Linked DNA regions of Canis lupus familiaris. The protein of the gene in region 1 interacts with the protein of each later gene in a pairwise test. Links are inferred from orthologs where the notes say so. Each region holds a gene or a part of one and is shown in the gene's direction. Other genes may lie near its edges. The genes, in order: TRIB3 and ATF5.

Evidence for each region.
Region 2: the proteins of TRIB3 (region 1) and ATF5 interact in a two-hybrid assay, tested with the Homo sapiens proteins (2 studies listed by BioGRID and IntAct). The link is inferred for Canis lupus familiaris from reciprocal best matches to the Homo sapiens genes TRIB3 and ATF5.

What each region holds. Positions count from the first base shown.
Region 1 is NC_049245.1:20,963,326-20,967,228, reverse strand, and holds the start of TRIB3 (tribbles homolog 3), read left to right. Parts: upstream 1-1,129; 5' UTR 1,130-1,189; intron 1,190-1,235; exon of another isoform or gene 1,236-1,378; intron 1,379-3,903. UniProt on the Homo sapiens protein: Inactive protein kinase which acts as a regulator of the integrated stress response (ISR), a process for adaptation to various stress. Inhibits the transcriptional activity of DDIT3/CHOP and is involved in DDIT3/CHOP-dependent cell death during ER stress.
Region 2 is NC_049222.1:107,309,732-107,313,634, reverse strand, and holds the start of ATF5 (cyclic AMP-dependent transcription factor ATF-5), read left to right. Parts: upstream 1-991; 5' UTR 992-1,285; exon of another isoform or gene 1,286-1,342; intron 1,343-2,000; exon of another isoform or gene 2,001-2,047; intron 2,048-3,421; 5' UTR 3,422-3,540; coding exon 3,541-3,718; intron 3,719-3,903.

The sequences.
Region 1 (3,903 bases):
TTGTCCCTTACTGCTGTGGGATTTTCCACTTGACTCTAGGTGTCCTGGCATAGAAAATGATTTCATTAGTCCCTCCCTGGCAGGGGAGTCTCCAGGGTTAAATGAGATCCCAGAACACCCTGGTGCACCCTGAAGGTCCTTAGACACAGGTGAGCTGATCCCTGGGGTTCTGGAACCTGAGAAACAAAGGTAACTCCACCCACCATTCATCCAGTCTCTGCCTGGAGGAGTATTTTTTTACACTGGTACATTCAGACATCAAGACCTAAAAGGGATTTCCAAGAAAGGTGCTGGACTCTGGGGCTGCACAAGGATTTGGCTTGCCAAACAGTAAGTGGCCCCAGCGCCTCCTTGGCTTAGGGTGCAAATCCTGTTATGGGTGCCTTCCCCTCTGAGCCTCATTCTATTCATTGAGCACTTAGGACGTGCCTACCACATAGTTCTAAGCATTTTCTCCCAGTGAAAACCTTATGAAGTGAATACTCCTATAAACCCATTTTACAGAGGAGGAACTTCAGCTCCAACAGGGTTTGAAGTAGCTTTCCTGAGGTTGCACAGTGCATCTGTGGAAAGCTAGGGGTGCACTCTTAGGCAGGCTGGTTCTAGGGCACTGGCTCTCTAGGGCACTGGCTCTTTACCATGAGGCTGCACCGCCTCTCTCCAAAGAACCCTGTGAGGCCTGCCCCAGCTCAGGTCTTCTCCCCAAGGGACCACACTAGTTCTTCTGAGTCCTGAGTCAGCTCCTAAGTCTGCAGTCTTTGCAAAGCTCCAGGGCTGCTTTCCCAGCGCTGGGCCTCACTGTAGGATGGGGGGAGCAGAGCTTTCTGCCTGCCCAGGGTCCTCCTAAAGGTTAATCAAGCAATGGTGGGAAGGTTCTTTATAAACAGGAAAGCACCCGGGAACTGTCACAGTTTGCTCTTTTTCTCCTCTGCATCCTGAGATGGAAGGATGTTCTCCCTCATTTCACGTACGGGTAAACTGAGGCTCAGAAAAGCTCTTTCCAAAGCGATAGGGAGAGGCAGCGGGGGTGGTCTGCGCGGGGCCGGTGGGGGAGGAGGCGGAGCCCAGGCACCCCTGGAGGCCGGGTGAGGCGAGAGGGGCGGGGCGGGGCGGGGCGCGCGGGGGCGGGGCTCCCGGGGATGGTGCAATCCCGGGCCTGAGCGCATCAGGCGGCGGCCGATTAGCCCAGGTTTGCATCACCCGGGCCGGGGCCGGGGCCGTCGCGGGCGCCGGGAGACACTGGCAGCGGAAGCGCGGGCGGCTCCGCACGTGTCCGGCTGCCGGGGGCCGGGGGCCCGAGCTCAGTCGCGTCGCAGCGGGCCCCCCGCCACGTGGGAGAGCCCGGGCGGCCCCGGACCCCGCCGCACGCCCGGTAGAGGTACCCAGGGGGCCCGAGAGGGGCCGGGAGCGGGCGGGAGGGGCGCACCCGCGAGGGTGGCGGCGGCGGTCTCCCGGGGGCTGAGGGTGGCGGGGCGGAGACGTGGGAGTGTCGCCCCGAAAGGCGAGTGTGGGGCGGGGGAAGGCGTGTGTGAGGGGCCCGTGGGCGTCGCTGGGGACTCTGCAGGGTCTGTGTCACTGTAGAGTGAGCCTGCGGGGTTGGGGGGATGTGTCCCGGCGGACGGTGCGGGCGGTGGGGAGGGCTGCGCACCTGGTGGCAGGTGTCCGCTGAGCGGGGGACACGCTGGGGCCGCGCTGGGGTGTCCTGGGGTGGGTGCAGGGCGAGTGGAGCGAGGCCGCCGCGCGCGGGTGCGGGACCCCGGAGCGCACGGAGCGTCGGCAGCAGGTGCGCACCTGGCGCTGCGGCCGCGGGTTGCGGGTTGTACTGCGCGCGTGTGCGGTTCGCGCCTGCGGACCCCGGGTGTGCGGGGCTGGGGCCCAGGTCCGCCCCTTCTCGCAGCCCCGGGGCCGGCCTCCCTCCGTAGCCTCTCCGCCTCTCGCCTCTCGCCGCTCCGTTTCCGCTGAATCCTCGGCCTCAGGACACCCGCTGCCCGCCGCTTCCGCTCCCACGGGAGGAGCCGGGCTGGGGAGGGCGGGGCGAGGGCCCGTGGGGGGATGGGGCGCGTGTCAGACCTTGCCTGTGACCTTACTGCTGTCCGCCGTGCGCGGCGAGTGTGTGTGTATGCCTGCACGCTTGTCCACAGAGGACGAGATGCGTGTCCTTAACGATGTGCATGCTCCCGTCTGCCCTTAATGTGGTGTCTCAGCTGGTTGGCTTGGACAACCTGTGCGTTTGAGAGGTGTGTGTACACCTGTCTGCTCTGGGTTCTGTGAGTGTGTGCTTGGTATGACCTGCCCTGGTTCCCCTAGAGGTGTCAGGGAACAGCAAGAGGTAGATATTGGGGGCTGCTCCATCCTACAGTGGAGATTCTAGTCCTGCAGTGTGGTCTGCAAAGTCCCTTGCTCAGTTACAGTAACTCCACCTGCCCCATGGAGCTTATCCCAAGCCCCACCCACCTCTGAGGCATGGATATGGCCAAGCAGCCTGGTGTGCTGATGTGGCCACAGGAGAGCCGCCCCAGCCACAGTCCGAAGGAGAGCACTGAAGGACCTCCGGCTATGAATAGTAGTAGCAATGGGCTGACAGTGGTGATCATTTACTGACACCCACCCTGCAACAGGGTCACTAAATTATTTGTGCTTTTATTTCATCATCGCAAAAAATCATATGGACTTTGCATCCTGCTCCCTCTTTACAGATGAGGGCACTGAGGCTGGGGAAGACTGCAGGACTTGCCCAGAGCTACCCAGCTGGGAAAAGTCTGAGCCAGGATTAGGAATATCTGACTACAAGAATATCTGACTACAGCCACCTGCTGTTTCATTCTTACCACATTGGGATTATGGCCTTTCACTCAATGTGGAGTATCCTTCCCAAGGCATCCCATGCTTTTGGGATTTTGGGAGTACGTGGCCCTCAGTTTGAGAATGGTCTCTGAGAGATGTTTTCTGCCCCCGACCTTTGGGAAAGTCTTTAACTGGGCTGAAGTCTATATCCTGCTAATGTCTTATACCTGGGCTCCTTGTCCCTCATCTGGATCCTGAATGGGTAGGCAGATGGGTCCTAGAGAGAACTTCTCTGCCCTGACTGCCATTGCAGTCTCCTCCATCCACCGCATACACAGTTACACAGCTGCCCTGCTGATGGCTTCCGCCGTAGTTGAATGAATTGGGGCCTTTGAGAGGCCTCCCCCTGCTTGCCTTACTTCTTACCTGATGGTGAAACCTAGCTGTCTATGGACAACTCTGCACATTGACCTGTGATTCTGATCACTCTTGGGCCATCAGGCAATAGTAAAATTCACATTTGAAAAAAAAAAATACACTCTTTTTTGAAATACTCAGCAATAAATTAATGCAGAATCTTTATTTGAAACTACTGAAACTGAAAATTCCCTTGCCTCCCTACCAAATCCTTTCCTCTGTTGGAGTCCTCCCAGAAGGCCAGGAGCTACTGTGGCCAGTTTAGTCTGGGTCATTCCAGAATTTGTCCTGTACATTTACATATCTACATACATGCAAATATGAAGATTTTTTTTTTTAATGCTGGTGGGTTTTTTTTTTTACAAGAATAAGATCATCTCCAGGTATATTGTTTAGCAGTTTGCTTTGTTCTTTGGACAATATATTCATTCTAGAGCTTACATTTATATATACATTCAGTACATATGTCATTCATTCATCATCCCTCTCTCCCTCCCTCCCAGTCACAGGTCCTAGCTCCTTGCACTAGGAGCAAGTGTCCTTGTGACACTTTTTTTTTTTTTTTTTAAGATTTTATTTATTCATTAGAAACAGAGAGAGGAAAAGAGAGAGACAGAGAGACACAGGCTCCATATAGGGACTTGATCCCGGGCCTCTAGGATCACACCCTGGACTGAAGGTGGCGCCAAACCGCTAAGCCGC
Region 2 (3,903 bases), on another chromosome or scaffold:
ATACCCACTTGGGCCAGTGGAGGGTCTAGTGCATAGGAGGGAATGGCCAGGAAGCCCCCTCTCTTTTAGCAAAGGGCAGTGCAGATCTCCCTATTTTGGGGCAGGGTTGGTAAACTGATCCAGTGGGGGGCAGCTGAAGCAGAACCAACTGGCCTGAAAGGAGGGCTAAGGATAAGGGCTGATGGGAGGTGGGCAGAGGATGGAGAAAAGCTACAGTCAGGGTGATGATGCCTGCTTCTCTGCAACTGTGCTGGTGTTGCGGGTGAGCGTCCATCATCTGGAACAGGGAAAGGTGGGGATGTCTGGCAATTACTGACACCTTGAAGAAGTGAAGAAGACACAAGAATGACCTACTAGCAGCTATTGTATGGTCAAATGTCTGGGGATCTTGCCAGGGCAGGAGGTATGGTTGAGACTCAACCCCAGAGTTCCTATTAAAAATAAGATACATTAAATAGGCAATTAAGAGCCGGGCTCTGGGTTTCACAGGCATCGACTTGATTCTCATCAGGCAGAGTTGATTATTTTCTTCATTTTACAGGCAGTTCTCGATCTACGAGACTAGAGAACTTGATTATTTGGCCACCATCGCAGGTCTGAGATTTGAACGGCGCGCGCGGTCTCATTGTGACTCAGACAAGAGTCTAACCCACAAAAAGGGTTCTTAGCGTGGGGCGGCAGTTTGGGGATAGGAGTCCAGCATGTGGCTGGCCGGAAATTCGAGAACTAGGGCAAAAGAAACCAAAAGTGAACTAGGGCAGGTCTCAGAGAAGGCGAGGGATCGAATCCCTAGAATTGGGGGGGAGGGGACCTGAGTCAGAGAGACAGAGAACAGGACCCCAGAGTTGGAAGGAGGACGGGGGCCGGAACCCCTGGGGTAGGAAGACGGAGCTGGTCCCCGGGTCAGAGGAAGGAAAAGGCCTAACTCCGCGTCGGGAGGAGGAGGGGAGTGGATTCCAGGATTCCCGAGAGGAGAGGCCAGGCCCGCCTCCCGGTTGGGGCCTGGCGGGGCGGGGCGCGGATGGATCCGGGGAGGCCGTGCTGCGCCATCCCCTGTATATCTGTCCCCACTCCCCGGGGCCGCCTCATTCCCCATCCACAGATCACAATCTCCTCTCAGGCTACCGAGACGCCATCTCCGCCCGCCCAACCCCGGCTATGGCTCTGTAGCCGCGACCCCTCCGTGTCCCGGCCCGTTTCCGCGCTCACCGCGCTTGCGCTCTTCTCTACCGCCTTCTTTTCTTCAGCTGAGGCTGCCGCCGCCTCTCCTTTCCGTAGCCATGGAGTGAGTAACCGCTCGCCCCTCCCTCTCCAACCGCCTTTCCCGCCCTTTCGAAGCTCGCGGCCTTCACGACCAGGCCTGGGGGGTGGGGAGACGAGAGTGAGGAATCACGGTCGCGCAGGCGCAGAAGAGGGAAACGCGTCGTTGGCACGCGGCCGAGCATGCGCATTCGGTCCAGTGGGGGAAGGGTACGTTCTTCCCTAGAATGCTGGAGTTTAAAGATGGCCTGCACGCAGTGCGCCTGCGCACTAGCCCCGAGCGGGGGTCGCCCCCCGCTCCCCGAATGAGTCTGTCCGCGAGCGGTTGCTCACGTGCACAAGCCCACCAGACTCCGTATTTTTTGAGTGAAGGGCGGGCAGTAAGCAGCTGCACATGCGCACTGACTCCCCAACCCCGCAGGCCTGAGAGAACAATTGGATCAGTGGCAGAGCATGCGCTTTAGCCCTGCGAGAGAGGCGTGTGGCTCCGCCGGCCGGCTCCCGTCTCCGAGCTCCACCTTGCTCATGCGCACAACACAATTTATGTTTCATTCGGGCACCTGCTGGGGCGGGGTTGGGTGGGGCTGACTCAGATTGACAGGGCGGAAGGCGAGGCTTAGAGGCCACCTGTAAGGAGGGGGGTGGAGCTAGGATCAGCGGCTGCGACGGGTGGGCGGGGGTCTATCGTGAGAAGGGGCGTGGTTAAGCAAATTTACCTGGGGTGGGGTTTCAACGGAGAGAAGGCGGGGCCTCTGGGGTATCCCCGGGAATGAAGTGGGGGGCTAAGGTAATTGGACGGGAAGGGACTGGGGCGGTCACCGCGAAGCTAAAAAGAAGCCGTGGGACTTAGTAGACCACGGTTTGGAGGGGCAGGGCTGGGGGAATTCCCCTGGGAGCTGATTTTTTTTTTTTTAATTTTTATTTATGATAGTCACACAGAGAGAGGCAGAAACACAGGCAGAGGGAGAAGCAGGCTCCATGCACCAGGAGCCCGACGTGGGATTCGATCCCGGGTCTCCAGGATCGCGCCCTGGGCCAAAGGCAGGCGCTAAACCGCTGCGCCACCCAGGGATCCCTGGGAGCTGATTTTTGAGCCGAGTGTTTAGATGGGATGGAGCCTAAAGGAAATACTTTAGAGGAAGGGGTGTGGCTGGAAGAAAATTCTCCTGGGATTGAAATTTTTTTTAAAAGATTTTATTTATTTATTCATAAGAATACACAGAGAGGAGAGAGAGAGAGGCAGAGACACAGGCAGAAGGAGAAGCAGGCCCCATGCAGGGAGCCCGACGTGGGACTTGATCCCGAGTCTCCAGGATCAGGCCCTGGGCTGAAGGCGGCGCTAAACCGCTGAGCCACCCGGGCTGCCCTGATTTTTTTTTTTTTTAATGAAGTGTAATTTTGTGAGGTGGGAGGGAAGGGCTTAAGGAAATTCCCCTGGGAGACCATTAGGTTTTTGTATAGGAAGGAACAGGGCTTGGGAATTCTAAAGAAAAGTAAGTGGGGCCCAAAGAGGGGCACCTGGGTGGCTCAGTGGAGAAGTATCTGCCTTTGGCTCAGGTGGTGTGATCCCAGAGTCCTGGGACAAGTTCTGCATTGGGCTCTCCAGGGGGAGCCTGCTTCTCCCTCTGCCTATGTCTCTGCCTGGCTCTGTGTATCTCATGGATTTAAAAAAAAAGAAAGAAAGAAAAGAAAGAAAAGAGAAAAGAGAGAGAGAAAGAAAGAAAAGAAAAGAAAAGAGAAGAGAAGAGAAGAGAAGAGAAGTGGGGCCCAGGGGATCCCTGGGTGGCGCAGCGGTTTGGCGCCTGCCTTTGGCCCAGGGCGCGATCCTGGAGACCCGGGATCGAGTCCCACGTCGGGCTCCTGGTGCATGGAGCCTGCTTCTCCCTCTGCCTGTGTCTCTGCCTCTCTCTCTCTCTCTCTCTCTCTCTCTCTCTCTCTGTGACTATCACAAATAAATAAATAAAATTTAAAAAAAAAAAAGAAATTGGGGGAAAGAAAGCATAGATTTAGAATTCTGATAGGGCAAGGTGCAGTCTCAAACCCAATTGGAAGGGGAAGGTAGGAAGGACCTTGGGGACATGGAGCTGTGGCTTGGTTTCTCTGTGACTTTGGCTGTGGATGAGGATGGCCTCTGACATCACCTATTCTGTCTCACTTGTAGGTCTTCCACTTTCGCCTTGGTGCCTGTCTTTGCCCAGCTGAGCAACCTCCAGAGCCTCCTTCCAGCTGTTGGTTCAGCCTTCTTCATTGCCACACCTGCCCAGAGCCTGTGCTGCAGCCATGTCACTCCTGGCGACCCTGGGGCTGGAGCTGGACAAGACCCTGCTCCCAGCTAGCGGGCTGGGCTGGCTCGTAGACTATGGGAAACTCCCCCTGGCTCCTGCCCCCCTGGGCCCCTATGAAATCCTTGGGGGAGCCCTGGAGGGCGGGCTCCCAGGGGGAGGAGAGCCCCTGGCAGGTAAGGGCAGGTAGAGAATGGAGGTGGGGTGAGCTGGGCATGGATCAGGGGAGAAGAATTCATTGATTCACTCAATAAATAGCTGTAATGCTCCAGTGGTGGCTTTTAGGGGCTAGGGAATATAGCGGAGACAAGATCAACATAACCCCAGCCCTCTTGGAACTCACACTGAAGTGGGGAGGCTG